Linked DNA regions of Schizosaccharomyces pombe. The gene in region 2 interacts genetically with the main gene of each other region. Each region holds a gene or a part of one and is shown on either strand. Other genes may lie near its edges.

Region 1 (7,454 bases), on a different chromosome or scaffold from region 2:
TTTAAAAGTTGTAAACGTTAAGGCGCTTGTAGTTTAATTGTGCTTTAATGATATTATTTGTTGTTGATGTCGGGTTTTTATAAATTGTATTCATGAAAATATTTCCTGGAATGGTAGAAAGAAATGTTCATACTTGATGAATGGTCCGTTTTAACACATTAAACTATGACTGTAATTACATGTGATTTTGTTTTTATTTTTGAATACTATCAACTGCTCTTGAGCTAAGATACTAAACTAATAATTGCCTGTTAAGTTCATAATCGTTGTAAGCATATAGTAAGGTAAAGCAAACGTAGCAGCAAATACCCAGTTCAATAAATGGAGTTTTTTCACTATCTACAAGTAAACTATAATAATAACTTTGTAAGGAACGAATGAATGATTTGCTCTTTCTTCAAGCTCTTTTAGTATTCTAGAAATCGGTTTAAAATGCCAATTCAAAATTACGATTAATTAAAGTAAAAAATAAATATTAAATAATCTAACTGATTACTGATTTTGATTCGTACATTTCATATAAAAGGGAGAAAGTATATCCCAACATCGTTTATAGACATTTTCTTTGAACCATCTCCTCACCATAGCACAGTAAACATTACATAGCGATACGCAAAATAGCACCACTATGTTTGACACAATCATCACTCCAATTCACTACGCTTCATTTGCGCATCCAACATGTCTCACTAAAGTTGGCTGGTTCGTACATATTCACCCTTGTCAACTGCGTATATCCCGAATTCAATAAACGTGTTATTTTGACGCGCATATACGTCTATATTCATAATGTCAGATTACAAGAGTCTTAAAGTTGCAGAACTGCGTGAAAAACTTGCGGAGAAAGGCCTCTCCACTGCTGGAAACAAAGCTGAATTGGTAAGCCGATTGACAGCAGCGACCGAGAGTAACGATGAAAATACTTCGAATAACAACGCTACAGATCTAGGAGATCTTGCTCCTCCCGAGGATGATATTGATTGGGGAGACATGGAGAATGATACTATTTCAACTGACGTTAACAAGCCAGCAGAACCCGAAAGTAAAGAGACCAGTGCTCCTGCCGCTGCTGTAGAGATTGAAAAGGAAAATGAAAGCATTATTTCGAAAGAGACTTCACAAGCTCCTGAAACTTCCACTGGTGCTGAAGAGCATCAAGAAACCACAGAGGAATCCAAACAAAGTGTATCTAATGAAGTCTCTAGCCCAGATGTAGCTAAAGAGCAAGAAAAACTCATCCAAAGGGCTAAACGATTTGGCATTCCTGTGGACGATGAACAAATTAAGAAAGCTGCTCGTGCTGCACGTTTTGGCATTCAACAACCTTTAGCGTCAAGTAATAACAAAAACCATAATCAATCTAAGAACCCTCAAAATCGTTCCAACTCACGTTCTAAACAAAGAAATAAGAATGCGCCTCCTAAAAGTGCTCCATCCAAGCGGAAGAGTAATATTTTGGACGACCCTATAGAGGCAGAAAAAGCTAGGAAGCGTGCTGAGCGCTTTGGTGTTGCTGCCAAGAATTAAAGTAACCATTTAACATATTTTAACTTCTTATTTTACAATATGACTCATGTTTCTTGAAGTTTTCTCCTCATGCCATGCTTTATTTGTATGCTTAATGCTTTTTTGATGAATTAGAACTTTTGAATTCCTATTTGTGTATATAAATTATACCCAGACTTTTGCTTCACTTTAAACAACTTATCCGAGTACAAGCATCCGATATTGGAGCCCTAAACGCTTCTAATTTCAATCCTACCTTTTAGGTGTGTTTTAAAACATCTGTGAAAACTCGGTTTTATTTTTTTAATAGCTTTTTGGGGCGTGATGTAAGTATTTCCTAGGCGAATTCTTTAATAGTTACCTATACTCATATGTTTTCCATTTTTAAAAAACTCTTCGTTCTAATCGTTTTGACATACACATTCGTTACAAAGATTTTCCACTCTGCTATCCATATGTATATATTTTGATGAGCTTATTTGTATTTAAGAAAAAGAGAAGGATTGTAATGTTTATATGATGTATCCACCTTTACTTCCAACAATGTCGAAATTCTTAATTTTTGTACATAAACTATTTTCTACAGGTTGGAATTTTATTTTTTTATTATACCTTTTTGTTTCTCAACTTCGGACTTCTTCTGTAACGTGCGACTTTACCTGTTTTGCTGTCATCGGTAAGTAAGAAAAAGTGAAAAATTTGACATTGCTGGCTGTAATGTTCTTTTGCGTTTTCTCAATTAGAGTCAATTAAAATGCCTTTTAATGGGAAAGAGTAACATCATTGTTTGTTTACATGTTGAAGTTTGTTTGTTTACAAACATGGCTTTTTAATCGACTTTTCTCAGAGCCACCTTCACCGTGTCTCAGCTACCCATTATTACAAAGTTTTGACTTTTCAACTCAACTAGTATCGCTACCTTTAAGAATATAAGAGTTGTTTCTATATCTTTTAATCCAGCCTCTATCCTGTTTACGCATCATGAATGCGAAATTATCTTCCTCCGGAATGGTACTGAAAGAGCTTCCGGAAGTCGCTTTGCAAAAGATAAGCTCAAACTACTATTGGGCTGTTTTTGCAGTGTTCCTGCTGTGCGCAATTGTCTTTCCTTTAGTATCGATATTCAGTTTGCCTCAAAAGCAGACTTACCACCGTTTCTTTTCCATCCTCAGTTTGGTTTCTTGCTTGGCCTACTTTACCATGGCCTGCAATTATGGATTGAAAAATGTGTTTTCTTCTGCTTCTTTTTTTCGAGAAGTTAGTGTACGAATGGTTTACTATGTTCGCTATATTCAATGGTTAATCAATTTCCCATTAATCATCGTAATGCTACATTGGACGGTAGGCGTATCTATACTAGAAATTGCATATGTCGTTTGCTATGTGCTTTTTGCGATTGTTTGCTTACTGGCGGCAGCATTAACTTCATCTCCCTATAAATGGGCCTATTACGGATTTTCGTTTGTAGGCTATTTTATTGCATTGGCACACTCAGTCGTTTTGCATAAAAAGTATGCTAGCCGTTTAGAGACGTCTGCGCGCCTAGGGTTTTTATGGTCAATTGTTTACTTACATGTCATTTGGTTCCTCTATTATGCATGTTGGATTTTATCTGAGGGCCTCAATGTTATCTCGCCAATTGGAGAAGCCATATTTTACAGTATATTAGATCTTTTCGAATTCGGCTTTTTTGGCGCTGCTTTTTCTTGGATGCTAGACTTGGTTGGTATTGAAAACTTTAAATCGCCTCAATCGATACCCTTAGGGGCATGCAGTCCTGCTGATGACAAGTTTTCAATGTGTCCGGACATGGAGGCACAAAACCAAGCTGATGATTTGGCCGTTGAAACTCGCATTCAAATTTCCAATTTACCTTCTTCACCTACGAAAAATAATTGCTAATAACAGTACGCATCGTTGCAGTTATCTTTGCTTAGTTATAGAAATTTACCTTCCGTTTTTTTTTTTTTTGTTTTTTAATCATTATTTGTTTCCTGAATGTTTAAAACAAACTCGAAGTTTCGCTACGAGAATTTCGTTGGCATTCTAAAACACAAACACTTTTTCGTGAAAAATTACGATTATGAAAACGAAATAATTATTATAAAAACGAAACCTTTGAACAATTATTAACGTTCATTCGCACTTGAAACGTCTAAATTTACGACGGTGAGTCATTGTTTACGTGAAAAAAGCATTATACTAGTTTTAGTTTAAGATTATTCGTAAATCATTTGCATAACTTTTACGAAACTTTACAAGGCATAGCTAATATTAATACAAAAATTTGCTGTTGAGATACAATATACGTTTAAACATTTCATAGAATAATAAATAAAAACTAAAAAAAAGAAACAAATAGTGCCCAAAATGGTAAATAGCCACTTTCAACGAATGAAGTAAGTAAAACTAGCATGAGCGATGCAAGTTTGCAAAGTGTTATGGGTATTTAAAGTCGAGCAGACTTAGAAGTATTATTTTCGTTTGGCTCACGTAAGTCTTGAATTGATATATGCTGCAACGGAGGAACTGTACGAGCACTGGGTCTAGCCGACAAACGACTAGCTTTAGAGGAAAAGCTAAAACGAGCACCTGACGTACGCGATGCATTTTCGTTTTCTTCATTCGAACTAGATTCTTGTTGAGAACGTTCGTACTCTTCCTCTTCGGCTCGGCGACGTTCCTCAGCTTCGCGTCGCATGGCCTCTGTGCCAGCGTTTTCAATGACAGCATCGGGAAGACTATCACGACCAAGCCTTTTACTTCCAATATCAGCAACATCATCAAAAGCAGGCATCAGATGCCGTGTTCCAAGGGAAAAGTCAACACGCTTTTTAGAAACACTAGCGGTATCGGAATCTGAACTACCAGGAGGAGTAGGTTCGCGGTAAGGATATGCTTTTGGGTTCTTCAGAATTCCTCCGCCAACAGTGCTGTCGCGATGATTTTCAGTACCACCACCATCATTACCACCAGATAACTTAACACCCTCCATTGAACCATTGTTGAAGTTGACATACATAGGTGAATCCTTTGATTTACCAGGGCTGTTGAAAATAGGAGATACAATATCCAATTCCTGCATATAAGTCATCAATGCACACATAAACATATTTCTTCGACGCATACGTAAAACCTCGTCTTGAAAGTTATATTTATGAAAGAATACAACACACAAAGACATGGAATAGAGATCCGGTAAATCCGTAACTTCAGTTAGTAAGTCAGGTTTATAATCACGCTTCTCTTCTTTCAAAAAATCAATAATTTTGATTCGCAGTTGTTCAATTTGCTGAAGAGTAGTTCCAAACTTCAGGTTAACGGTGACTGGGTCAGCAATGCCATCACTACGACGCATGTTCAAAATCCAAAGGGTGTTCAGCAAACTGTTTGGAGCTTGAATGACTTTTCCAGTCAATAGACGAAACTCGGTAGACATGATGGAAATTTCCTTGACCATCGCTGAAGTGACTGTGCCATTGATCATGACATCGACACGATCGCCCACATCGTAAGGATGTTTCACAAATACGAATATAATAGAACTAAGTAATTCCTGTGCGGAGCCGGAGAACAGCCAAGACAAACCTAGCAAAGTAGTTCCAGCAGAGGTAAGTACACCGCTAAAGTTACGGGCAATCAAGTATAAGAAAATAAAAAGAGTAATGACAGCCACTATAAACATGCAAATACCATCAAGCTTAGAAATGGAATCGTTCAAGTCACGAAGTGAAGCAGAAATGCTCTTACGCTCTTTTCCAATTTCCACACATGCGAGTTCAATTTCTTCACAGGTGATATCACCATTTAGATCACGATCAAAAATAGAATAACATGCCTCTAAGGTGGCATTATCCACTTCACCAGTTTCATCGGTGTATACGGGAATAAAATCATCCAGTACTAAATCGGGATTCTCAGGATTCACCAATGCCTCAAATAAGCAACGAGCTAGAGATTGACAACCGCGTGTGGTCTTTAACAAGTGTAGCACAACACTTTTAGGAGAAGAAGATTTTTCGACCTCACGATTAGTAATCTCACCAGCCACTTTGTTAACCATATCCGTAGCGAAGTTGAATGCAGAGATAGCTTTGTAAGTGGTTTTATTCAATGCATTCTGAGCAACCCGAGCAGCTGCTGCGCGCTTCTTGCCATGTTGGTGATCAGCAAACTTAAAAACATCTGCTTGAGCACGATGGATAGCATCTTTGAAATCAAAAGAACGCTGTCGCGCATATCCATACAAACGGGCGAGTTCATTAATAGCAAACTTATTGTAAAGGATTCTAGATTCATATTCACGACGGTGAAGCGACATGGCGATCAACTGCATAAGTACTTTCTCCACCAAATTCATAATTGAGGTGATGAATAAAGTGATAAGTACATTGTTGGCGCTCTGTTGCCAAGGGAGTTTTACGCGTACATGATCAGGTACACCATAATCACCAATATGACGGCGGGTCATAATGGGAAGGAAACTGACATATACAGCTAACATCCAAAGGAACAATGTAATAGGAAACTCAAGGGCAACTGCCATGCATCTCCATTTAGTAACGTTGTTACTGATGAAGGAGACGAAGAAGGCAAAGAAATAAGGAATTACTTTGGCAGCATAGCGAGCAGCCCATATAGAGAGCCATATAATTTCCCACCAGATGGCCATCCACATCAAATCAACACCTCCAACGTGTAAATGGCGCTCATATTCATGACCTAGTTCATCACGGTAAGGAGGTTGTGGGTGATAAAAGCGACCAATGAATACTGGAATCAAGAGTAAAACCCCGAGAGGAATAATGTAAATGAGCGAACGAAGGTAAAAGCTTCGCTGTTGAATAAATTTGAATATGCGACCAAAAATAGTTACAGGATGGTCCGGAGCCTTAATAGGAGCTTCAGTACCAAACGTCACTACACCAAAGTTGTCTAAATGATTCTCAGCCTCTTGAGCGGCTTCTTCATTCTCCGCAGTACGTTCATAATCGCCCGACTTTTTAGACTTGGAGGTACGCATGGATTTAGAACGATGGGAAGAAAGGCGTCGCATAGATCCGCGAACACTTCGGCCGGTAGGACGTCTTTGCAAAGACTGAGAACCACGGACAGCCATTTCGGCATTAAAAATCTGATTTTCATCTTCCAAAGTCATGTGCGAGCGATATGAGACGACAGAAGCAATAGGCGATCGAGATCGCTCATGTTCAGGAGAGTGCGGCAACTGCCTTTGTTTGGATTCTGGGTGCAACTTTGATAGTTCCATTTCCAGGGACGAAGTATCACTAGTCCCAGTATGACCTTGATTTTCTGTAGAATGCTGGGGAGAATGCTGAGGTTGGTGAGCCTTGGCATCAGAGTTTTCGTTATCAGCTTGATCAGAATTGGGATCCTGATTAGTATACTCTGGCGGCATACCGTCTTTCGAGTTTGACCAATGATGGCGACCAGGACTAGAAGTAGGAGAAGTAGGAGAAGACATGATTAAAGGAGCGAGCGAAAACCGTAAGTATGAAGAATTTAAAAAATAAGAAACTGTCTGAAAAGGTTTAAATGAAAAAGGGAAAAGAAAAACAGACAAGGATGAATTGATTTGAGTTACCAGGAATAGGGAATATGATGAAAGGAATGAGAAGAAACTATCGTCCAGAGGAAAAGAAAAAATACACAAGAGGGAATAAATAGAAAACTTGACCAAACGTCAATAAAATGCAGAAATCCAAGGATGAGTAATGATTAAACACAAGTACAAGGAAGGAACTAAAAATGAGAGGAAAAACAAAAAAGTCGATAACTTGGGTACCTAAAAAAAAAAGAGATTCTAAATGTTTAAAATAGATAGCTTGGAATGGGGATGTGGTTGACAAATGAGGTCAAATAATCAATCGTGAGATAAACAATTTAACTCTAAGGAAAAAATTTTTGAAAGTAAAACCGCAAAAAGA
Region 2 (9,041 bases):
TAATTAATATTTTAAAAATGGGTTTTGGTCATATAATTTTCATGCGATGATATAATTTGCTGCGTGTAAACACAACATACTATACTCAAATATAGACTGGAATAATAAGTATACTAATTATCGAGAAATGGTCGACATCAGTTCGTGCACAAAAAATAAACAATACTTATTTCCCTTTCCTTTTACTTGAATAAGTGCTCAAGCGAACTGCTACGTGCCAACTTTTGTAAACTTCATAGTTATGCTTTTTTTGACACCAATTCAACTTCATGCTTAGCTTTTCGTTACATTACCTTAGTTTCTTCTTGTTAGTTGCGTACAATCGGCGCACCCTGCCTGTTAGACTAAGATAAGATATATGGTGGTTAGATTAAATGCATCCTTCAGCAACTTACCGATAAACGTCTCAACACGAACTAATTTACAAATCCTTAGTCGGAAAGTGTAAAATTATATCGATAAAGTGAAAGGAAGCGTATCGGAGATATCACTCTAGCGTTGTTCCAACTATGCAACCCAGAGAGCTACACAAATTAACGCTTCACCAGCTGGGATCTTTAGCCCAAAAAAGGCTGTGTAGAGGGGTAAAGCTTAACAAGTTAGAGGCTACTTCACTTATTGCATCTCAAATTCAAGAATATGTTCGCGACGGTAATCATTCCGTAGCAGATTTGATGAGTCTTGGTAAAGATATGCTGGGTAAACGCCATGTTCAGCCCAATGTCGTTCATTTGTTACATGAAATTATGATTGAAGCTACTTTCCCTGATGGAACCTATCTAATTACCATTCATGATCCCATTTGCACTACAGATGGTAATCTCGAACATGCTTTATATGGAAGCTTCCTGCCCACGCCAAGCCAAGAACTGTTCCCTCTGGAAGAGGAAAAGTTATATGCTCCGGAAAATAGCCCTGGTTTTGTTGAAGTCTTGGAGGGCGAGATTGAACTATTGCCTAATTTACCTCGTACTCCCATCGAGGTACGAAACATGGGTGACAGGCCAATTCAAGTTGGATCACACTATCATTTTATTGAAACTAATGAAAAACTATGCTTCGATCGCTCAAAGGCTTATGGAAAGCGCTTGGACATTCCGTCAGGTACTGCTATTCGATTTGAACCTGGCGTAATGAAAATTGTCAATTTAATCCCTATCGGTGGTGCAAAACTAATTCAAGGAGGTAATTCACTTTCGAAGGGTGTCTTCGATGATTCTAGGACTCGGGAAATTGTTGACAATTTGATGAAACAGGGATTCATGCATCAACCTGAATCTCCGTTGAATATGCCATTACAATCTGCACGCCCTTTTGTTGTTCCTCGTAAATTATACGCTGTAATGTATGGTCCAACAACGAATGATAAAATTCGTCTGGGAGATACAAATTTGATTGTGCGCGTGGAAAAGGACTTTACTGAATATGGAAATGAATCTGTTTTCGGCGGCGGAAAGGTTATACGTGATGGTACGGGACAGTCTAGCTCAAAATCAATGGACGAATGCTTGGACACTGTAATTACAAATGCTGTAATCATTGATCATACCGGTATCTACAAGGCTGACATTGGCATCAAAAACGGATATATCGTAGGTATAGGTAAAGCAGGAAACCCGGATACAATGGATAACATTGGAGAAAACATGGTCATTGGATCTTCTACAGATGTTATATCAGCTGAGAATAAAATTGTTACTTATGGTGGTATGGACAGCCACGTTCATTTCATCTGTCCTCAACAAATTGAAGAGGCATTGGCTTCCGGTATAACTACTATGTATGGTGGAGGAACTGGCCCTAGTACGGGAACTAATGCTACTACCTGCACCCCAAATAAAGACTTAATCCGTTCCATGCTTCGTTCTACTGATTCTTATCCCATGAACATTGGTCTCACCGGAAAAGGAAATGATAGCGGTTCAAGTTCTTTGAAGGAGCAAATAGAAGCAGGCTGCAGTGGACTTAAGCTTCACGAAGATTGGGGATCTACTCCCGCAGCAATTGACAGTTGTTTGTCTGTTTGTGATGAGTATGACGTTCAGTGCCTAATTCATACCGACACCCTCAATGAATCCTCTTTTGTAGAAGGTACATTTAAAGCTTTTAAAAATAGGACCATTCACACGTATCACGTTGAAGGAGCCGGTGGTGGGCATGCCCCCGATATTATTTCTTTAGTCCAAAATCCAAATATTCTTCCCTCTAGCACCAATCCCACACGACCATTTACTACAAATACGCTTGATGAGGAACTGGACATGTTAATGGTATGCCATCATCTTTCTAGGAATGTTCCTGAAGACGTTGCATTTGCAGAATCCCGTATTCGTGCTGAAACAATTGCTGCTGAAGATATTTTACAGGATTTGGGAGCTATTAGTATGATTAGTTCAGACTCTCAAGCCATGGGTCGTTGTGGTGAAGTAATTTCAAGAACTTGGAAAACCGCCCATAAAAATAAGCTACAACGAGGAGCACTTCCTGAGGACGAGGGTTCAGGTGTTGATAATTTCCGTGTGAAACGTTATGTATCCAAATACACTATAAACCCTGCAATTACTCATGGAATTTCTCATATTGTTGGTTCTGTGGAGATAGGCAAGTTTGCTGACCTTGTCTTATGGGACTTTGCTGACTTTGGGGCAAGACCCAGTATGGTGCTGAAAGGAGGAATGATTGCATTGGCCTCTATGGGTGATCCAAATGGATCGATTCCAACGGTTTCTCCCCTCATGTCCTGGCAAATGTTTGGTGCACATGACCCCGAGAGGAGCATTGCATTTGTTTCCAAGGCCTCTATAACATCCGGTGTTATTGAAAGCTATGGACTTCATAAGAGAGTTGAAGCCGTAAAATCTACGAGAAACATTGGGAAGAAAGACATGGTTTACAATTCATATATGCCAAAAATGACTGTTGATCCAGAAGCTTACACAGTTACTGCAGATGGTAAAGTTATGGAATGTGAGCCTGTAGACAAACTTCCACTTTCCCAGTCTTATTTTATCTTTTAATTATTTAGATTTTGATTAAGGAAGATAATGCGAGTTTAATTAATATGAAATTTTGTTTGTAAATTTCTTTACAGTTGTTTGAGGCCGAGAAATTCCATATCAAATTTTAAAAGACCAATTACTATTTAAGTTTATAAATATAATATACTCCCGCTTATGAGTTGGTGGATCAACCTTGTTTGCTTACTACCCACGTTTTTGCTTTAAGGTTATATAATTCTTTTCAAACACTAACAAATATTTGTCACAAATTCATATACTATAAACATTCAGAAAAGTTGTATTTGAGCTAGTGTACAGTCGTATTCGTTAAGTCAGAGTGAACTTCGTCGCTTACCAAAGCGGTAAACAACACCTACAATCAACGTTCGATGAGCCTAAGTGACTAAGCTGTGAAGAGATTAAGACTTTCATGAAAGCGTTATTAATAATTTCTTTTAATCATGAAAAAGTTCTTGTCATTCAAGCCTGCTGAAGACTTCCTTCGATCTCTTAAAAAATCATCACAATGGTTTCTGCTGATCATTATTGTCGAGGTTACCATTACATTATCTTTTGAAGGATATGTTTTTCATCATTTTCGTTTAATCACAGTCGAAAAAATTGATGTCTTTATAAATGCTATGGTGCCGTCTACATTTGCACTGTTTTGTATGGCATGTCCCTATTTACTTTATACGGCTGTAGATGCATTATTAAACAAGGATGTAATACAGGTAAGTTAATTGTCTCCAAAAAAAGCTAAAATGGCATTGTTTGTCTTTTGTCGATTCATATGGTTGACGCACTTGAGATCTAAACCAATTCAAGCTAACCGAATTATACGTTTAGATGTCAGCACTTCTTATCTTTCATGTAAGCCTTTTTTGCCTATCTGTTGTCCAATATTTTCAAATATTTTCAAAAGACCCCAGAGCGATTTTCCTCTCCGCTTTATACTTAATAGATCCCATTCGCCTCGTCACATCATTTAACTATCACGAAAGAATAGTTGTTAATTCTCATATGTTGTTATTTTATCTGAAGCCATTTGTAATCGCTCTTCCGGTGCTAATCGGCGTTACTTGTATCTTGCTGAGCTTCTTGGTTTACAAAATGAACAAAGCATTTGGATGGATTATGTATCAGCAGCATGGTCCTGATCTTCGAATGAGAAGAAGGTATCTCGTATACAAAATATTCATGTCCTTAATTAAGTCGGACTATTATTTTTGCCTAACGGCTACTGTTCAATATGCTATCTTCTTTTCTACCATAAGTCGTGTTGGGCTAGCACTAACCATTCTTGTCTTCCCCTGTACAATCGCAACTTTGATGACCTGTAGGTATGCTGTTTACAGAGAAAATCGTGCATTGTTAGGGATTGTACAGTTTATGTTTATGTGTGGACTTGCATATTTTATTTACAACTGTGCTAGGCTATACCTAGGCGTCGACTATGGGGATATTGCTGTTGCAAATATTTGTATGTTGGTGTTTTCAATAGTCACCATAATTTATTTGTTCACAACCATAGTCGTAGGGTTTTATTGCATTTCCAACTTCGGTTATGGTCTTAGGGAATATTTACGCTATATCCATCAAAAGCAAAAAGTCAATGCGGCTCCTGCTGTTCCTAAAGTTCGCATGCCATTGGACGACTGAGAGCTCTCTTTCTTTTGGCATTCTAAAAATGTGTTTTCTTGTTGTTTATCAATGTTCCTCATCTCTCTGTCCTAATCATCGTTTGTTTTCTTACGCCTGTTGAATTTACTGTTTTCCATTTCGTGTTTCCTTGCATTCCTTGGTAGGTGAATATTTTGTGCTCCGATCTCTTGTACTGTGTTTTTCCTTCATTTGACCTTTAATACATATCTTTTTTGTCTTTGTTAAAATTTATTGCTTTCGGTCCTTCTTTTGAAAGCTCAGTCTTCTTGCCTATAATTCACAATTTGAAAAAAAAAAAAAAAAAAATCTCCTAATTCATGCTTCATTGCTCATATCATTGCTATTATTAAAAACAAAATTCTCAACATGCTATTACAATGATTTAGTTGAGTAAACATTTTGAGCTGGTTCTTTTCTTATACAGGAAAAAAGGTGATAGCTAATTGGAGTTGACCATTTCCTTACGGAAGTTTTAGAACGAATATATCGTTCTGTGGCCTACAAGGATTTTAAGTCAAAAAATTCTATCATTTTTCTGGTTAAGAAGGAATGTTTATTAGTTGTTAACTCACACTTGTGATATTGTTGATTGTAGTGATTGAACCGTTTCTTTAAAAGTTTTTTGAATGATCTGAACTAATTTGATACAAATAGTTAAGTCTAGTCTTTTCTGTTTATTAATAATCCTAATTTATTAATAATGCTAATAAATAAATTAATTGTATAACGTAAACATATATTTTTATTTATATACCGCGTTTGAATAATAATACCCAGTTTTGGGACAATAATGGGATACCGTTCCTAATTACCTCCATAATTTGATTTCTTGTTTTAATATGACGATATATCGTACTAAGTCATTGCTGCCTTCTGCCTCTTAATTCTGACTTAAACTGAAAAACAAAATATTTCGTGATTTATCGTTATTAATTATTTAGCAGGATTTCTACAAAATTTGTTATAGAAATTACAACGTAAGCAAGCATTCTCGGCACTATCTTTTTACCGTAATTTGCCTCACTCCCTTATACGTACTGCATTTGTTTTGATTCCCTACCTGCTTGAATGTGCGATTCCAATGAATGACCCTCCATAGGCTCTAGGTGAAACCTTATTTTACACATATAAAACAAGGTGAATTCCATTTCAACACTTGAATTCCTAACCTAACAACTACCATCCATAAGTATTTTGGTATATTTACAAAAATTGAGTGTAATTCACTCTTATAATCGATACTTCTGATTGTCATTAGCGTCGTTGAGATCAAAACAAAACAATTTCCAGGATTTTGAAATTTGGCTTTTAAACAGCTGAATCTTTGGTTATTTTGTTGAAGTTTCTTTGATTTAATATCTTTTCACCCCCCTTTCACCTCTATTCAGTTTAATTTAATCATTTGACTCTTTCTTCTTGCATCGGTTCGTTCGTGTTCGCTTTACTACTAACTTACCTACCTACATTTGTTCTCCTTATCCTTAATTCTTTTACAGATATAACAAAACGTCTGCCAAAGTCAACACACTCGGGTTTTGTCATTTAATAGGGCAAAACGCTACTCTACTTGGGATTTTCATTATATTTACTCTCATTCATATTCTTCCGTTTCTGTGACTAAATCACCATAAAAAAACACCTTCCTTCCCCGGAAAACAAATAAGCAAACAACACTTTTTTTCGAAACACATTGTTTAAACAAAGTTTACGCCCTTTTATTATTGAAGATTTTCACCCGGTCAACCTTTTACCCTTTTCCTATTTCGCAAATTCTGTCTCTTTTTTTCGTCACAATTTTGGTCTACTTTGCTAAAATCAAGTCGCGCATACATTCATCATTCCGGCTTTTTTTTTGCAATCATCATTCCATATCTTACCGATATCTGTGATCCTTGGGTTTGTAAATCTGTTACTGAGCAGTTACATATTTGTCACAAGAACAACCACTTTTGGTTGATTCATTTTCTTATTTAAAAGTAAAAAAGAGTGTACATTCAACAAATTAAAATTATCTTTTAAGCCCAAAAAAGCGTTTTTGAGCATATTCTGATTATTTATCTGTCGCCCAGATTCTTCATTGAAAGATTTCTTTTTCTTTTCTTTTTTTTCTTGTTTTATCGCTTTTGAATTTGACTTTTACTAGTTCAACGTTTTAATATTTCCTTCCTCTTCTCTTCTTTTTGTTGATACAATGCCGTCTCTTCTGAGTTCACGCATTCGCAATGCCGAATTTGCCAAAAAAATTGTTACGGATCCTGCCAAGTTGGTTCCGTACTTTAAAAATGGGGACTATGTTGGTTGGTCTGGTTTTACTGGTGTCGGTTATCCTAAAATGATTCCAAACGCGTTAGCAAGACATGTCGAAGAGAACAATTTGCAAGGAAAATTGCGTTTTAAATTGTTCGTTGGTGCCTCGGGAGGTGCTGATACGGAATGCAAGTGGGCTGAATTGAATATGATTGAGCGCCGGTGTCCTCATCAAGTAGGAAAGCCAATTTCTAAAGGAATTAACTCTGGCAGAATTCAGTTTTTCGACAAGCATTTATCCATGTTTCCCCAAGATTTACTTTATGGCTACTATACTCGTAATCGTGAAAGTAATACAATTGACACAGCCATTATTGAGGCCACAGCCATTACCGAGGACGGCGGAATTGTTCCCGGCGCATCAGTTGGTGCGAGTCCGGAACTTATGCAACTTGCGGAAAAGATTATCATCGAGGTGAACACTGCCATTCCTTCTTTTGAAGGACTTCATGACATTGTCGAAATTCCCAACCCCCCACATCGTACTCCAATAAACATCAATCGAGTTGACGATCGTATTGGAAAGCCATACATCAAAGTGGATCCCAAAAAGGTTATTGGAATAGTGGAGGCTGATTATGGAGACATCACATGCGCTAACTCTCCGCAAGATGAGACTTCGCAGGCTATTGCAGGCCATTTAGTTGACTTTTTCCATCATGAAGTATCTGTAGGGCGTCTTCCCAAAAATCTTCATCCTTTGCAATCCGGTATTGGAAACATTGCCAACGCTATTATCGGTGGTCTTGCCCATTCTCCCTTTAAAGATCTCGAAGTGTGGACAGAAGTCTTACAAGATACTTTCTTGCCTCTCTTTGACTCTGAAAAGTTACGTTTTGCTACTGCTACCTCAACCCGTTTTTCTCCTCAGGGATTTGAAAAATTCTACTCAAACTATGATTACTACAAGGAAAGAATTTTGTTACGCCCTCAAGTAATTTCCAATCACCCTGAAATTATCCGCCGTCTTGGTTGCATCGCTATGAATACTCCTGTGGAAGCCGATATTTACGCTCATGCCAATAGTACAAATGTTTTGGGAAGCAGAATGTTGAACGGTTTAGGTGGTTCTGCTGATTTCTTGCGTAATGCGAAATTAAGTATTATGCATACACCATCGGTTCGTCCTTCGAAGAAGGATCCTACTGGTATCACTTGTATTGTTCCTATGGCTACCCATGTTGACCAAACCGAACATGATTTGGATATTTTGGTTACAGAGCAAGGATTGGCTGATTTACGAGGCTTGTCTCCTACCGAACGTGCTCGTGAGGTTATTGACAAGTGTGCTCATCCTGACTATAAGCCTCTGCTCAGAGAGTATTTCGATATTGCCGAAAACTACTGTTTAGCTAGAGGAGCTGGTCATGAACCCCATATTCTTGCCAATGCTTTCAAGATGCAGCTCAACCTTTTAGAAAAAGGAACGATGAAGATCGATCATTGGTAAATTTAGTTATCAGTTGTTATAGCCACTTTTACTCTTTCTAAGGGTTTTCCAAAACCTTGTTACGACTAAAATACAGCTTCTTCGTGCTGTTATGACTTAATGTATTTCATTTTTACATTAATTTAATTTACGAAATAAAAAAAATCCGTATACTAAAATTAGTGTTTATAAGTTAAGGAAATTAGTTTTGAGTAAGTAAATCCAACAATCATAATGCGTATGAATTTTCCAAGATACACAGAAATGAGCGCGTTTATTTTATGAGCAGTATTCCTTTGAAGATTATTAATCTTTAGTTCCCCTGCAAAATTCGTAAGTTGGCTGTTTAGTACATACCTCTATATTACGTTGAGTTGTGAGTCAGCATTTCTGCTATTAACCTAGTATCAAACCTGCTTACTCAGAGAGGAGTACCACCAAAATTTAGGAAAGGATAATCAAGTATAGAAATTATCGTACAGTTTTGTCTGGATCAATAGTTTCCATTCACCAGTATTTATTCTGCAAATTATAATCTTTGTCGCACCACAATAACCTGAAAGTAAATATGGCCTCAAAAGTCGATTCATCTCATGAGTTCCCCAGCCAAATCAAGAGATGCTTGTCCTCATCCAAATATA
Region 3 (8,503 bases), on a different chromosome or scaffold from region 2:
CCTTTGTTTACCTTTTTTATTATTCAACTTGAGATGTTGATGGATTTTTTATGATTTTGGTGATAACCTTCACGTCCTTGTACATTACTGAGTTGTGAATTATGGTGGACTTCAAATATTGATTGACAAACCTTGCAAAAATTTTAAGTATATTGTTCTTGCTTTTTGTAATTATGATTGCTTTTGTCATTATCTCGCTTTAGAGAGATTATTTAAAGGATTAATGAAAACACCTTAAAATGGTCATTACATACAATAATTATTTATGATTTGATTCATTCAGCGTTTAATATGTGTACTTTCAAGTGTGATCGAACTGACTTTTAGCGTCACTTACTAAATGTTTTTGTTGTTGTGGGTTAAAGATCGAAAACAATTCTTCGTTGTAGATTGTTCGTTTTTGAGAATAAAAACTAAGAAAACACGTTTGCGATGAAATGAAATTAACGAACTTCTTTTTTTTGTTAATCGAAGTATAGTTTGTTCGATTCCGCAAAGACAAGAGAACATTGAAATATTGATTTGTGTGAAACAGCGAAATCAAGTATACCTCGTTAATTAGCGCGGCAAGTAGGATCCTGCGGATTCATAGACGTTCCTTTGGAGGCGAAGCGTTATTAGGATTTTCATACCCGTTGTGCAGCTTTTCGTCGCCTTGTTTTTCTAGAATGATGCGGGATGAATTGAATATGCGGAAGCTACAGATGTGCAAAAACTAGGCATAAACCTCGCTTGCCTTCTTAGTTTGCTAGGCAATGTGAAGCAAATGGTCATAATCCAAGTGATACGCCTGACAGAGACAATTTAATTTGTAAATTATTTTTATCATTGTTTTTATCCTCTGATGTTACAATGTATTCATTGATATCGCATTTCGGCATTCCGATGTTCAACCCCGGTATGCGAGAAGGTGTTGGCCGCTTTTTTCGGTATCAAAGTTGAAATTTTAGATGACTAATCTTATGTTAATTAAAGATAAGAGGACGAAGTTTGCTGAAATCAAGTACAGGTTTTGATTGACTAGGCATCCTCACTAATGGTGTGAGAGAAATCTGTTAGGATATGCAAGCTGTCATTTCTCACTTTTTCAATGTTGGAAACCTGTACACAGACAATGCATACTCTTTTCTATATCAATTTGCAAACTAGATGGCAGCTCATTGTTCTGTGAATAATCAGATTAAGGTACTGAACAACGGAATATGGATTGCAATGTTCTTTGAAGATCTAGAAGGGGAAACCATTTTTGTTAGTTAAAAGTTTTATTTTTTTGTTTTAAGTTACTAGTTATTGTCTTTATTTTCTTATTTTCCTTTCTCTGTGCACTAATATTAAATGATTTTACTCTTACTATTTACCAATTCTCTTGAGCAGATGAAGAGAGGAATATTTTAAAAAATTAGTGTAATCCACGATAACGTACAATTTGCTTTTTCAGAAATCACACACGATTTCGTTAGTAAGTTTAGCCGAACTTTAGAGTTGTGCCTTATACAGATATCTAGAGATCATTTCTGTATAGCGAGCGACCTTTAGTACGACACACTTAGCAAAGTCAATGACGTTTCAGTCAAACAAGTGACTTATATAGGATTCATACGTGCATCCCATTTCATCGTTTGCCAACATGTCCCTCGCTTGGAAAAATGAGTTATTGAAGCTTTTAAAAGAAAATGTCGACTCCAGTGGAGTTATTCATCCCGAATACTTCCAGCTGGCAACTTTACCCACTGGTAATGAAATTTACCCCAGAAATCGTACTGTAGCTATTCGAGGATTTGTCGGTACAGGATGGCATAAACCACGTCCCGATGATGTGCTAGCTACAGATTTATTGGTATTCTCTACGGATATTGCTTCTCACAAAGCTGCTGAGATTGCTGAGCAGCAAAAAAATACATTCCCCTCTGGACCCATACCGAACGCATTTGAAATGTGTGGATGGTTACCAAAGACAATGCAGCAAATTCGTATTTCCGGTCAAATTTGGTTATACACACCAGAACTTGCCGACCGAAATGAATTTCCCGCAGACAAGTTGATCCAGGATCATTTAATAAACAGCAATGGCCGCATTCCCGAAGAATGGTCTTGGGAAGAGGAAAGAAGACGTATTTGGGAGTTACATAGTCCTGAACTTCGCGCTTCCTTTTCTACTCCTCCTTCATACTCCAAATACCAAGGCGATGTGAAGGTGTCACCTTTACCTTCTACCCTCACTGGAAAAGAAGATCCCGGGGTTATTGAAGCTTGGAAGACTGCTTGGGGTAGATTTTCTCTTGTTGTTTGTGAGGCTAACGAAGTCGAGTTTTTGAATCTTACCCCTCCTCCAGGAAAGCGCGTTTTGCACAATAGAGATCTAAACACGAAACAATGGTCCTCCACTCGTGTCAATGTCTAAATGTTTTCCTTTTTTTTCGCACATCCTTTATGAATTGATTGCTCTTGATAAACGTGCAATACTTATGAACTACGAATATTAACTTATAATGATTACTCCTAACATTTTGGTTCTTTTTTTTTGTGGAGTATATGAAAAAGGTCTGATTCCCTCAAATTTGCCTAGCTTACAATTCGGTGGGTTTTGTAGTTGAATTTTTTTTTAGTACTGAAGCATAATACTGAGTACAAACTACAAACTCAGTGTATTCCGAATTTTCTAATGTTTATTTACGTTGTTAAACAACTAAATTATCACTTATCCTATGTCAAATTTCCAATCCGGCCACTTGATGAACTATTTACGTTTATAATAAATAAAAAATTATGAAAATTGTGTGTATTAAAGTACTTACAGGAAGACATTGTAAAAAATTGTTGCGAGATTAAGCAAATAGGCCAACCTACCTGCTAATGATGATCATTTATTAAAAGATCTTACCTGTATAATATTATATTAAGGTTATTACTATATGGCTTGTTTTATTATCTTATATTGTCTTACGCAGGTAGAAATGTAGCAAAAAAAAGGGAATAAAGCACCACATAAGAAACACAATGTCTTATTTGAAGGGACGGTGAATTGCCAAGTCATTTAATTTTATCGAATCAGTATTCATAGAACCGTAAAGGTCCCCGTTGAGTTAAGTGGCATTATTGAATACATGTGTGGATCTTAACTTATTAACGATACAAATTTAAAACCTGTTAACGTATTCCTTACTATACATTAAATACTTTAAGGAATTTTACCAAATTGGCTTATACATTGGATTATTAGTACTCGGTTACATAAGGGATTAGCAATTTCAAATACAGGATTGCTCATCCATCATTTTTTAAGCATTGCTGTTATTTAAGCTCATCTAGATCAGAACTTCTTTTTCTCTCTAAAGTATAGAACACTTGGTTTACAGAGTGACATACACTTCAGTTTGTCAGTTTATTGAGAAATAGGGACGGTATTGCTAGCTACTGGAACCAAACCCACCTTTACTTTGCTTTAGTCTTTTCTTGTTTTCTTCTGTCTTTCTTTTGCATTGAGCTTTTCATCGCTTTTGTTTGGTGAACAATATTATTCAATTTAGAGGTACATATTAATTTGTAATAACAATGTCTATAAGCTTTTCGGAATTGGTAGCTAAGACATTGTTGGACTTAGAGGTTAAAGTTGTTTTTGGCATTGTTGGCATTCCCGTAATCGAAATTTGTGAGGCTATCCAAGCAAGTGGAATTCGGTTTGTCGGGTTTCGCAATGAGCAAAGCGCAGCTTATGCAGCGACTGCCTATGGCTATTTAACTCAGCGCCCTGGGGTCTGTGTCGTGGTAGGCGGTCCTGGCGTTGTACATGCCATGGCCGGTGTTTTCAATTCTAAAACCAATCGATGGCCTTTGCTGCTTTTGGCTGGATCCAGTGAAACATTTCAGCAAAACTGTGGGGCCTTCCAAGAATTGGACCAGGTTTCTTACTTATCACCTCATACGAAATTAGCCGTGCGCCCCCCAAGTCCCAAAATGGTTGTTGATTCCATTCGAAGAGCGTATCGTGTCTCCATGACCGGCACTCCTGGAACATGCTATGTTGACTTGCCAGCAAATTATATTGAATCTACTGTCGATGACTTTCCTAAAGACCCTCTACCCCCAATTCCTAGTTCTCCCAAATGTGCACCTGATCCAACACAGCTTCAGAAGGCTGCATACTATTTAAAAAATGCAAAGGCACCTCTGCTTGTCGTTGGTAAAGGTGCCGCATATGCCTGCGCTGAAAAACAGCTCTTGGAATTTGTTGAACATACTGGCATTCCGTTTCTTCCGAGTCCCATGGGCAAAGGTTTGTTACCAGAATCGCATCCCTTAAATGTGTCTTCGGCAAGGTCAGCTGCTCTTCGTAATGCAGATGTAGTGCTCTTAGCAGGGGCACGTTTAAATTGGATATTTCAATATGGTCTTCCACCAAAGTGGTCTCCTAATGCCAAATTTATTCAAATTGATACCAATGCTGAAACTTTAGGAAACAATGCTGCAGATTTGGATTTAGCAATTTGGGCTGATGTAGGTCTGACAATAGATTGTCTTTTTAAGCTCGTTCAAACTTGGAAGTACAGTGTTGGCATCTCGACCCCTTACCTTCGCACGTTAAATGAAACCCGATCCAAGAATGAGAAAAAGGCTCTTGAATCTCGAAAGTCCAGTATACCGTTGCAAATGAATTATGCTTTGTATGTCGTGAATGAGGAGCTACAAAGCTTATCGCTCAAATCAAAGCGTAATATCACTTGGGTTTCTGAAGGCGCCAATACAATGGACCGGGGCCGTCAGCTTTTAGAAGTAACTCATCCACGTGGTCGACTGGATGCAGGCACTATGTCAACAATGGGAGTTGGTATGGGATATGCTATTGCCAGCGCATTTGCCCATTCATCCGACAAAATAGTGGTAGTTGAGGGTGATAGTGCTTTTGGCTTTAGCGCCATGGAACTGGAAACCGCCATACGCAACCAGCTGGATCTTTTGGTAATTGTAATCAATAATAATGGTGTTTACCATGGATTAGATACTGATGCTTATGAAACTTTACGTGATAATCACCAATTACCGACTACTGCCTTAGGCACTAGTATACGTTATGATCAAATTTGCGAAGCATGTGGTGGTAAAGGTTTCTTTGTAAAGAATGAAGAAGATTTGAGAAGTTCCCTCAGGAAAGCATGGCAAACCTCATCTGTATCTCTCATAAATGTTATGGTGGACCCGGAGGCTGCTCGAAAATTGGTAAGTATTAATGGAATGAATTAGGTATAAGAACAAGCTAACAATCACTAGACATTTGCATGGATGAGCAGTACCAAAGTGAAACCAAAGTTATGACCATCATTTAATTAAAAATAGAAGAAGTGATGTTCTTTTACGATTCTTAAAAATCGGAATACAGTTATTGTTGCTATTCAAATAAAGTCGTTTATTAAAAAAAAGTATTAAATATAATCTAAAGGAAATTAAAAATATTAAAAAATATAAAGATAGTGATAAAACAGCAGAATTAAATAAGCTTAGAGTATGCTTGTTCTATGTCCTTCAGCAACCATTCCTTAGTAGAATTACGATTTCTTCTTAAAGGTAAAGCACCTTCATATGTACCATTATTAGGCTGAGCTGGTAAATCTAATATATGCGAAAGAATGCCATAAATTTCGGTGTTCTGGAACGGTGCAAGCTTCTTTCCCTTAAAATTCTTAAAAGAAGATCCTGAAGCGATAAAAAGTGCTCTCATCACTGGAGACAAATTGTCATAACCATGTACACCCAAAGGCTCATACTCCAACTCCGGTGAATGATCCAGCATCGAGACAAGAGACCATCCAACATCCGGGATCATCCAAACGGGAGCTATTCTTTCATTATTTGAGTAATGCCATCGAGAAGGTATATCTTTCTTTGAATAAACATTCCAATTCTCAGCAGAAGGTAATGACGAGCGAGAATAATTAACAAGACTTTCGTAAATGTACTCATCATCTAAATCAGATTCTCCTCTAAAACCTCCTAACGGCCAAGCATCTCTGTGTGCAACGGCAGACAAATTAAACATATTATCCAGCCAGATAAGACGATTATCGGATGTAGGCGCCATTCCATGATCACTTAAAAAAATAATGTTGACATGCTTATCGATATTTCTTTTCTTCAGTCCTTCAATTAGTTCACCAATTACGATATCAACTTCTTGAATTATGATATTCAGTTCAGGCGAATCCGGTCCAAATGCGTGCCCAACCATATCTACATGGGGAGCATAAGCAAGTAATAACTGAGGGCGGTCTTTATCAGGAAGATCCAGCCATTCGAGTATTCTATCTTTCTTTTCTCTTAGAGTCGTATCAAAATTGAAACCATCCGAATAAGTAGGTCTGTAACCATGATTCTCCACTTCATTTCCAGGCCACATATGTACCGCTGATCGAACGTTATTTCGCTCAGCGTTGACCCATATAGGCTCCCCTTTATCCCACCAAGTTGGGTCTTTGTTACATTCAGGCATACTGTTGACAAATTGCTTCCCAGTTACAGGATCAAAAAAGTTGTTACTAACGATTCCATGGCTCTCGGGATATAAACCGGTAACAATAGTATAGTGATTAGGGAAAGTTATACTAGGAAAAGAAGGAATCAAAAAGGGAACATGGACATTACGTTCAGCCAGGCTCAGAAGATTAGGTGTGAACCCACGATATAAGTAATCAGCACGGAATCCATCCAAGGAGATTACGATGACAGTGGACTGAAAAACATTGGTCCCATTGTTGAAGGAACCTCCAACGATAGGAAAAATAATTGCTTTGAAGCAAAATAATTTCACAATTGCCAATATCAGAATTCCTAAAATGCAAATAGCGGCAATTGCTAGTCCCGATCGTTTTGCCCATTGATTCAAATAAGCCTTTCGATCATTTTTCAAAGGCAAATACTCGTTGGACCCAATATTAGCCCAACTAAACATTTCGGCGAATGTTCAAAATCAATGATATAAAGGAGTATTGTTAGGTATATCATATAATCTGTCAAATAATACTTACTTGAATAACGATGCGAAAAATATTGTTAAAATCATTTAACGCTTTCAAAGATATGCGGTAAACACTTTGTTCTAACTTACTTCAATTCGTAAACTATTCAGTCCTCTTAAATGTTCTGTCGTATAGGAAATGTCATCCTTTGAAACGTTTAGTGAAATGAGATAGCTTTTTTTCATATATGAAATTCAACTATTAATAATATTTGGATTCAAGGAGGAAACATCAACTTATGTTAGAAGCATTATTTGGCTAAAGCCTCAGAATAAAAGATTTTGTAGAACAAGTTTATTTGTCTTTTTACTGTTTCTGTATGGAAATATTAATTAACCATTTTTCAACTTATCATGATTCGTTCTGGATAGCGAACATGTTATGTCTATGGTTTTACATGATGTTAAAATAAATGGTAGCGATACTTTTTGTTAGGTCGTTTCTGAATTCGAAATTTCTCTTTATTTCTTTGTTGATTTTTGGGGAAATCGACCTCATCATACATTCGCAAAAGCGTGGCTTTGTTGTTGTAATTAAGGGCCTTTAAGTCTATTCCCTTAAACGCTTTGGTTATTAGTGAAAAAAGATCTTTTCGTTTTTGGTCTGTTAAATTTGTGGTCTCCTCCTCGGACGCAGAGAAAGCAGCTGAGTTTGAGGTTTCAGTACCACTGTCAGCTGGTGTTGCTTTTGGAGGAGGATGAAAAGCAAAAATACCATTTAGAATTAAAGTTGCTGACGTCTGACAATTATTTTTATTAATATTATCCGAACCGCTTATGTTTTTTTCAAAGTACGTCAAATCTTCAACATTTTCTGTTTGTGGAACGAACGGACCTGGCCCACTATTTAAATTATCCCATTTAATGGTTCGAAAAAAAGGATGTTTTTTGATTTCCTGGTATCCATTGCTACCCAGCCGTTTGTTACAGTCTGGATCCATGAGTTTGGTGATTAAGTCTACCGCCTCCTTTGAGCAGCTTTCTTTCACTCTTTTAGTCCAACCAATATCATTTCTCTCTATGCGAGCCCATATTGCTTTTACAGTATTTGCTTCAAATGGTCGCGTGCCAGTCAACATTTCGAATATCACACAACCCATCGCCCATATATCGCCCATCTGAGTATCAACGCCCATTAAAATTTCTGGAGCCATATAATTTGGCGTCCCTGAAATATCTTTTTTGATGAATGTCCGGTTTTCCTTTTTCTCTAACTGATTCATTAACATGTGTATTGCTGTTTCATCCATGTTATTGATATCAAAGTCAAGTAAATGCTGGACCGAGTCATTGGCATAATCACTATTTTGCTGTGGACTCTCCGCTTTCTCAAGCTCATCAATATTCCCGCGGTAATTTCGAACATATCTTACAAATTCGAATTTTTTAGGTTGAAGCTGCTCATACAAATTTCCATGTTTCTGTTCAAATGACATCCTCTTAGTAAGCTTATAAACCTCTTTTTTTTCCTCTACGTTTTCACTCAGTCCGAAGTCT
Region 4 (7,555 bases), 1.2 Mb from region 2:
TTATATTTTAGATATCTCATTACATTAATTGACATTTCGCGTCTAAATCTCATATGTGGGAACTTCTACCTTTTCACTTCGTGGTTTTCGTACTCAACTCAAGCCCCAGAAAAGACCGGTTTATTTTAAATTAAAAAACACCTAAATGATTTTAAGATCAATTGTATATTATGAATAATGACAATTTGCATGATAAGTTAACGATATGGCGCCAACAGCAAATTGAACTTAAAGGGATGTTGCAGCTAATTCCCAAATTTCAAAGTTTGAATGAAATAAGATATGTTGTAGGATTGGATATCTCTTTTGATAAATCAAGTCCAAAGGCTGTCTCAGCCCTTGTTATTTATGATTTAGAACAACGTATGATTATTTATAAAGATTATTTGTGCATTGAGAAATTAGAAGAGGACTATGTTCCCGGGTTTCTTTCATTTCGAGAAATTAAATGGTATTTGCCATTGCTAAATCACATTCCTCATCAATTTCGAATTGATATCATTTTAGTAGATGGAAATGGCGTATTGCATCCTGTCGGTAAGTAAGATTCTGTAAACAATCTATTTACTTCAAGGAGACACTCTCAATGAAGGATATTATTAATTATATCTAACTCAACTTAGGATTTGGATTGGCTTGCCATTTAGGTGTGTTGTTGAATCTTCCCGTTGTTGGCGTCGCGAAAAATTACTTACATTGCGTGGGTTTGACTGAAAGCTTAGATGCACATCGTGAAACTTTAAAGAAACACGTGCTAAAGAAAACAACTGATCATCCAATATTGATTCACTCGATTGATCAATCTTCTGAGATTCTGGGCGCTGCAGTATGGACAAGCAGTAACTCGAAACGCCCAGTTTATGTTAGCATCGGTAACCAAATGAATTTAGAACAGTCTATCCAACTCGTACAGAAATGCAGTAGCTCTCATAGCAGGGTACCGGAACCGATCAGGCAAGCAGACATTTATGCCAAATTTGTCCTAAGTCAATCGAAAAGGAATAAGAAAAATTAAGCAAAATCATCTTACGAGAAACATTACTTTGTCTACTTAGATATTCTGTGAGTATTTTAATTGACGGTTTAGAATTAGATTAATCTACAGGAAAGAGAAATAAAAAAGCGGAATTTGAACAAACGTTAAGCAACCTTTAATGGAAATCCTGTTGTATCATCCAAGCTTAGTAAAGGTCAAAAAATTACCGTTCAAGTCATATAAAGATACACAAATCTTTGAAATGAAAAAACAAGCCCAATTAAAACAGAAAGATAAAAAAACAAAATTGACGGAAGAAACTAAAATTCGAATCAATCTCTTTGAACATTTGTAGGACATGAAGGTGGAGGTAGTGGAATATCAGTGGGAGAGGATCTAGCAACTTGCTCATATGCAGGAGGACTGGGTCCAACACTATTGAACATTGGGGGGCATTCCTCATCCCAACTAACACCAAGACCACCTCGTTCAGTCAAAGGTAAATTGACCTTCATCCTTAAAATTCGGGCATTCGAGTTTATGGGATGCGAGTTCATCACTTCGACGACTATAGTCTCAAGAATTAGTTGATGGGCAATATATAGAGAGAATTGTCCATCAAAGGAAACATCACAAATAGGCTTTGAAAGTAAAGATGTACTGATAGGGATCTCGAAGATAATTCTATCGCCATCTTCTTTCCAACCAGACTTATGTTCATTATTTCCCAACAGCCGAGTCTCCTTGAAAATGTATGGCTTTTTTGTCCCAGTATGGGTCGAGCAACCATTTATTTGAGCTTTTATCTGTTCTTCTATTCTCCACGAAATCTTCGTTAAGCGCCAACCAACCTTGGAGTTTTCAGGTTTTACACCGGTCAGCTGAAATTCAACAGGAACACAACTCAAAGGGTGAATTACAGGAGGCAGCTCTAAAAGAGCAATAAGCGAAGTAGGGGGGAAGAGACGCTGGGCAATTTTATCAGCATTAGTGACAATAGAGCGTTTCAAGTTTAAAGGATATTCAAAAACAAAATCGGGTTGACTGGGAATCTTAACGCGAGTTTTTAGGATGTAAGTAACGTTTATGAATGGTGAGTTGGTCGTTTGTGGAAAATGTCCAGGTATTATAAAAGTGAATGGCCAAGTATGTGTACCATGAGTATATACGGTAGGTTCTTTAGAAAACTCCCATTTCTCAAAAGCCTCAACCTGAGCTTTGCAATCGGGACAGCTGTCGCGCAAAGGACGCTTTGTGGATATTATGCGGACGAATTCCATGACAATGGATTCGCATTTGAGATCTGCAGGAAATACAGTCAACTTGGCAAGTCCAGATGCTAACGCTCCACTAGAAACATCTGGATTCCCATACATTACCAAAGGAGGAGACTCCATCTGGATGTTGAGTTCGAAAGGTTGTTCTTCTGTTGAAGCATGCTGAAATCTCCTGACTAATGAAGGCATCTTGACGGTTCAGCTAATGACTTAGGAATTAAATATTAAAAGGAAAGAGTAGGAAAAAATGAATCTAAAGAACAAAGGGGGGCCCGATCAGAAGAATTAATATGAGATTGAAATTAAACAAACAGAAAACGGCTATGAAGAGAATGAAATATATTTTTTGGTAAAAATTTTAAATTAATATATATCCTTAACAGCTTCTGAGGTTGAAAGCGACAGCACAAGAGATGAACTCAGGTTTTATGTAGAACGGAATAGGGATTATCGAATTTGGAGCTTACTCCTTAAACGTTTGATCAAAGATAAGCAATTGTGCTTCAATTTTTTTCAAATGATATAAAACAATTGAAAAAACAACTTCCTCTCAATAGTAGTTCGAAATGGAAAAAACAATTAAGTAGCGTTGAATGTGTTTTTCTATGCCAAAATATTTACTCAAATCAATATACAGGAGCCTTTTTTTAGCGTCCAAAGAAATACTTTGCTCACTGTAAGCAGAGCGTAACTATGAATACAGTGCATATAGCACCTCCCTATGAAAAATATACTAATGTAGTAAGAAGAGAAGGTTTTTGCAAAGGAAGAATAGGAAGTGTAGTCTGCATGCTCCCCAGGCCACTGAATGCGAAGGTTTTCAAAGTTTGTTATCTACAATCTTACGTAGCTGTGCGTATCTCAAGCCGACCTAAACAAATCTCGTTATTCCAAATAATATTTATTTTAAACAGTTATCATAATTCTATATGATAATAATCCATAGTAACTAAGCTGTTTTATATGTATCTGAACAAAGGAATAGAAAAAATAAACCCAGTTTCCAAGTTTTTCTTTCTTTTATCCTTGAACATATGTATGTTTAATTCTTAAGATATTGCTACCTAAGGATTTGTAATAAAAAATACGTTATGATAAATATTAAAAAAATAACACATAAATAAGCATATGCCTCTAGAAGCCTAACAAATTTATGTTTTTTATTGCTGAACTATTTTTTTAAAACACATGCAAAAAATGATTTGCCGATACTTTGAAGCCGTCACAGCTGTTTGTTGCAACTGAATACACTTTCCTCAATATCGGAGTTATTTCCGGCGATCTAATCGACGTGATAACTGGAGAAAGTTATCATATCTTATCATTTGTAATTCTAAAAGTAAAATCGATCAACTCATAAAATAACATTTCACTTTGCTGCACTGTAGATTTTTCTTATCAAATCTATTGGTGTACTAAACAGACTAGCTAACGTTTGCTGATCCGATCGACTATAGCAGCACACTCACTCTCTATACCATAAGACGTTGCCGAACCGACATCTATCGTCATTCAAATAATCTTTGGATTTGGTAATTTTAGTCGTTTACATACGCTACTTAGTATTTTTTTGGATTTTACGCTTTTCTACTAAAGTATACGAAAATTAGACTACCTTTCGTGAACAATATAATTGACCAAATCTTAGAGCTGAAATTTTTTGAGAAATATGTCTTATATGCATTCTTTAAACCTGATGCTGCAAAATCCCAGCGGAATTGACAAAATTGCTGCCATTCTTGTCAACGTTGCGAGGTTGGATCCAGCATCTTCGAAATCAACTGCTCAACTGGTTTCTATGCTAAATGAATTTCGATGTATTTTACGTCTTCCTGGTCTCTACAAATTAATCGTAAATTTTCGTAAAGATTCTTCTCCTGAAACTTACATGAGTAACGCAATCAATATTGGATACTATGTCACAGAAGGATTGGCATTCTTAGGCGGCAAACAGATTATTTCCATATCAAAACCGTTGGAAGACAAATTATGGCTTTGGTCTTCTAGATTTTGGCTTCTCGATACTTTATTGACCATTTACCAGCTTTTGCGTGAAAAAACAGAAGACGAAAAGGAGCATCAGTTAGACTTAGCTTCAAACTTGGCTAGCCTTCCTTTGTGTATTCACTGGTCTGTAGAAAATGGAGCTGGTTTACACAAACACCAAATTGGAGTTCTTGGTCTTTTCAGCGCAATTGTACAAACTAGAAAACTAATCCTCTCTTTGCACAATAAAAGAGCTTAGTTACGAATGAGCTTTTTAAATTTAAATAGAAGTTACTTTTTTCATGTAATTCTATTCGTGCTCAACTATTTTTCGTTTTCTCGAATGTCTATGTGAGTAAAGTAGTAAACAAAAGTGGTAACAGTCGTCTTGGTTTTTTCAGCAAAAATCGAAATATGCCATTCTAAATGAAGGGACTGAATCGGTTTAAAGCTTGAAAGGTTTTAGAAATGAAGTCGATTTTAATCGTTAATCCATTCCATTAAAGCGTTTTAAATTTTGGGATATTGATCGAAAATTTAATCAACGGAAAACATTAAGTTACTCTTTGTTTGTCACCAAAATGTACCTTGTCATTTTTTTCTAATTGAACTGAATATCTTTATTAACGAGTGTTTTTAATGGCCCTGCAATTTCAAATTGAGGATGTACGATATCATACTTTTAAGTATATCATATATAAACGTTAAGGAATTATTATCAACTATAATGCACTACTTTTTTAGGTTTCTTCTGAAGCTCAGTACTGTTGAGAATGTTCTAATTACGACTCAAGAATTGACGGATAATAGCTCGAATAATAAATTTGAGGCGACATAAATGGTTACAAGTTGATTAAAGAACATAGAGATTAATACACATACTGTTAAATATGGTTCAATTGTTGAATTCATTTGGACTTTAATTCCAGCTTTAATCTTAATTTTACACGCATCATAATGGTTTCACTCAAAAAATCAGATTCAGTAATATAAAACAATTTACTACTGACTGAGTACAACGATATTTTCATCTAAAAAAAAATCTGAAAATATAAAGAATATTGTTATTTAAAAGAAAGGAGAACAGACTACGACAAATTGAAAAAAATGAAGGAATTGGTAAACAAAATGTATCTATCGAAAACAACGCTGTACTACGTAAAGTGAATACTGTTCGTAACCGCATTCCATACGGATGGCTAGAATCCAGTAACCCTGCCCTAAACTGTGACTGCTTTATCTCATTAAACCTGCGAGAAGTCAAATTATGAGCTACCATCTGCAATCACCATGTTGTTGTACAAGGACGTTATTTCTGGAGACGAACTCGTTTCTGACGCCTACGACTTGAAGGAGGTAGACGATATTGTCTACGAGGCTGATTGCCAAATGGTCACTGTCAAGCAAGGTGGTGATGTTGACATTGGTGCCAACCCTTCTGCCGAGGATGCTGAGGAGAATGCTGAAGAGGGTACTGAGACTGTAAACAATCTTGTTTACTCTTTCCGTTTAAGCCCTACTTCTTTTGACAAGAAGTCCTATATGTCTTACATCAAGGGTTACATGAAGGCTATCAAGGCTCGTCTTCAAGAAAGCAACCCCGAGCGTGTTCCTGTTTTCGAGAAGAATGCCATTGGATTCGTCAAGAAGATTTTGGCTAACTTCAAGGACTACGACTTTTACATTGGTGAGAGCATGGATCCCGACGCAATGGTTGTCTTAATGAACTACCGTGAGGATGGTATTACTCCCTACATGATCTTCTTCAAGGACGGTCTTGTTTCTGAGAAGTTCTAAATGCAAATTTGGGTTCTTATAAGGGAGTTTCTAACTGGGAACATGATATCATGTCTAAATTTTATAGTTTTGTGAATTAGTTTTCACAAAATTTCATTAGGATTAGAACAGGGGTTTTTGTTCTGATAATAATTAATTATGCTAGCTTATAATCATGTTCAAATTGAAATTAGTGTTTTTTTATCGATTTTGTATTTGGTTGAATGGAAGATTGAGGTATCGATGTTTTAAAACGTGTGTGCTAAAATTCATGAATCTATTTATATATTAACAGGCCGAAATAATTTAGTAAGTAAGGATATGGTTTGAAATTTGGTATTTTACCATTAATTTAGTGTATTTTTTTGCTTTTTATCGAAGTTGATAATTCAAGTCCTTTACGAGGAATAGCCAAACTTTTGTTATGGCGACACTAGACGACCCGGTAGCCATTGAAACTTTGTTACAGTCGAAACTATAGTTTACTGTTAGTACTAAAGATTTGGGAAATTTTTGCTCGACGATGTTATTTTTGTAGCGGACGACTATTGGATTAAATTTATGCTTAATTGTTAAGCCTTTTAATCAATCTTATCATTGAGTTAATAGACTAGTTGCATTTAATTTTGTCAATGTATATTGTTACGTTTAAATAGTAAACTATATAAGCAGTTTAAATCAACGAGTTTAGCTACAATATTCCCCTAAGTGAAATATATCATTTAAAAGCACTAACAAATACGCATAATTTAGGCATTGTACTATTTGCAACTAATTACTTAACACCTCGATTTGTTGCCCTTGTGCGGGTTACCATTCCCCTCGCTCATTTATCTAGTCTCTTTTACCAACCACACCATATATCCTTTGACGAGGTCATGACAGACGTTCAAGAGACCCAAAAAGGAGCACTCGTAAGTGATATGGAATAGATTTTTTATTAAATAGAAATAATTATTAATCTATGTGATGTACAGAAAGAAATTCAAGCATTTATACGCTCGCGTACAAGTTACGATGTTTTGCCTACGTCCTTCCGTTTAATCGTGTTCGATGTTACGCTTTTTGTAAAAACATCACTTTCTCTTCTTACATTAAACAGTACGAAAGATTTTTCATTACAGATGTGAAATCAACTTATTAATCACGTCTTAGATATCGTCAGTGCTCCTTTATGGGACAGTGAAGCGAATAAGTTTGCGGGCCTTTTAACGATGGCGGATTTCGTCAATGTTATTAAGTATTATTACCAAAGCTCTTCATTTCCCGAGGCTATAGCTGAGATTGACAAATTTCGATTGTTGGGACTTCGTGAAGTGGAAAGAAAGATTGGCGCCATTCCTCCGGAAACTATATATGTTCATCCAATGCATAGTCTTATGGATGCTTGCTTAGCCATGTCAAAGAGCCGTGCTAGAAGAATTCCTTTAATTGACGTAGATGGCGAGACAGGCAGCGAAATGATTGTATCTGTTTTGACACAATATCGAATTTTGAAATTTATCTCCATGAATGTTCGTAAATCGTGTTATGTTTTTAT

The links.
Region 1: mutations in SPOM_SPAC1952.10C (region 2) and mug73 together harm fitness less than expected from each alone (positive genetic interaction), as found in Schizosaccharomyces pombe (one large-scale study listed by BioGRID).
Region 3: mutations in SPOM_SPAC1952.10C (region 2) and hac1 together harm fitness more than expected from each alone (negative genetic interaction), as found in Schizosaccharomyces pombe (one large-scale study listed by BioGRID).
Region 4: mutations in SPOM_SPAC1952.10C (region 2) and SPOM_SPAC1F12.04C together harm fitness more than expected from each alone (negative genetic interaction), as found in Schizosaccharomyces pombe (one large-scale study listed by BioGRID).

Annotation. Positions count from the first base shown.
Region 1 is NC_003421.2:619,561-627,014, reverse strand, and holds mug73 (transporter mug73), read left to right. Parts: upstream 1-2,487; coding exon 2,488-3,408; 3' UTR 3,409-3,499; downstream 3,500-7,454. Other genes in the region: RNA-binding protein mlo1, read left to right, coding at 790-1,527; msy1 (MS ion channel protein 1), read right to left, coding at 3,956-6,991. UniProt on the Schizosaccharomyces pombe protein: Has a role in meiosis.
Region 2 is NC_003424.3:4,980,714-4,989,754, reverse strand, and holds SPOM_SPAC1952.10C (uncharacterized protein), read left to right. Parts: upstream 1-3,188; 5' UTR 3,189-3,460; coding exon 3,461-3,733; exon of another isoform or gene 3,734-3,848; coding exon 3,849-4,661; 3' UTR 4,662-5,458; downstream 5,459-9,041. Other genes in the region: nickel-dependent urease Ure2, read left to right, coding at 510-3,017; ach1 (acetyl-CoA hydrolase), read left to right, coding at 6,856-8,421; SPOM_SPAC1952.08C (pyridoxamine 5'-phosphate oxidase), read left to right, coding at 8,969-9,041.
Region 3 is NC_003423.3:1,205,413-1,213,915, forward strand, and holds hac1 (2-hydroxyacyl-CoA lyase Hac1), read left to right. Parts: upstream 1-3,262; 5' UTR 3,263-3,552; coding exon 3,553-5,214; intron 5,215-5,265; coding exon 5,266-5,310; 3' UTR 5,311-5,444; downstream 5,445-8,503. Other genes in the region: SPOM_SPBC725.03 (pyridoxamine 5'-phosphate oxidase), read left to right, coding at 1,628-2,401; npp1 (nucleotide pyrophosphatase), read right to left, coding at 5,483-6,940; serine/threonine protein kinase Ppk31, read right to left, coding at 7,411-8,503.
Region 4 is NC_003424.3:3,808,009-3,815,563, reverse strand, and holds SPOM_SPAC1F12.04C (uncharacterized protein), read left to right. Parts: upstream 1-3,714; 5' UTR 3,715-3,922; coding exon 3,923-4,498; downstream 4,499-7,555. Other genes in the region: SPOM_SPAC1F12.06C (DNA repair endonuclease), read left to right, coding at 171-537, 624-1,015; arrestin-related substrate adaptor Any2, read right to left, coding at 1,309-2,442; tma19 (translationally-controlled tumor protein), read left to right, coding at 5,530-6,036; cbs2 (protein kinase activator), read left to right, coding at 6,894-6,929, 6,993-7,116, 7,171-7,529.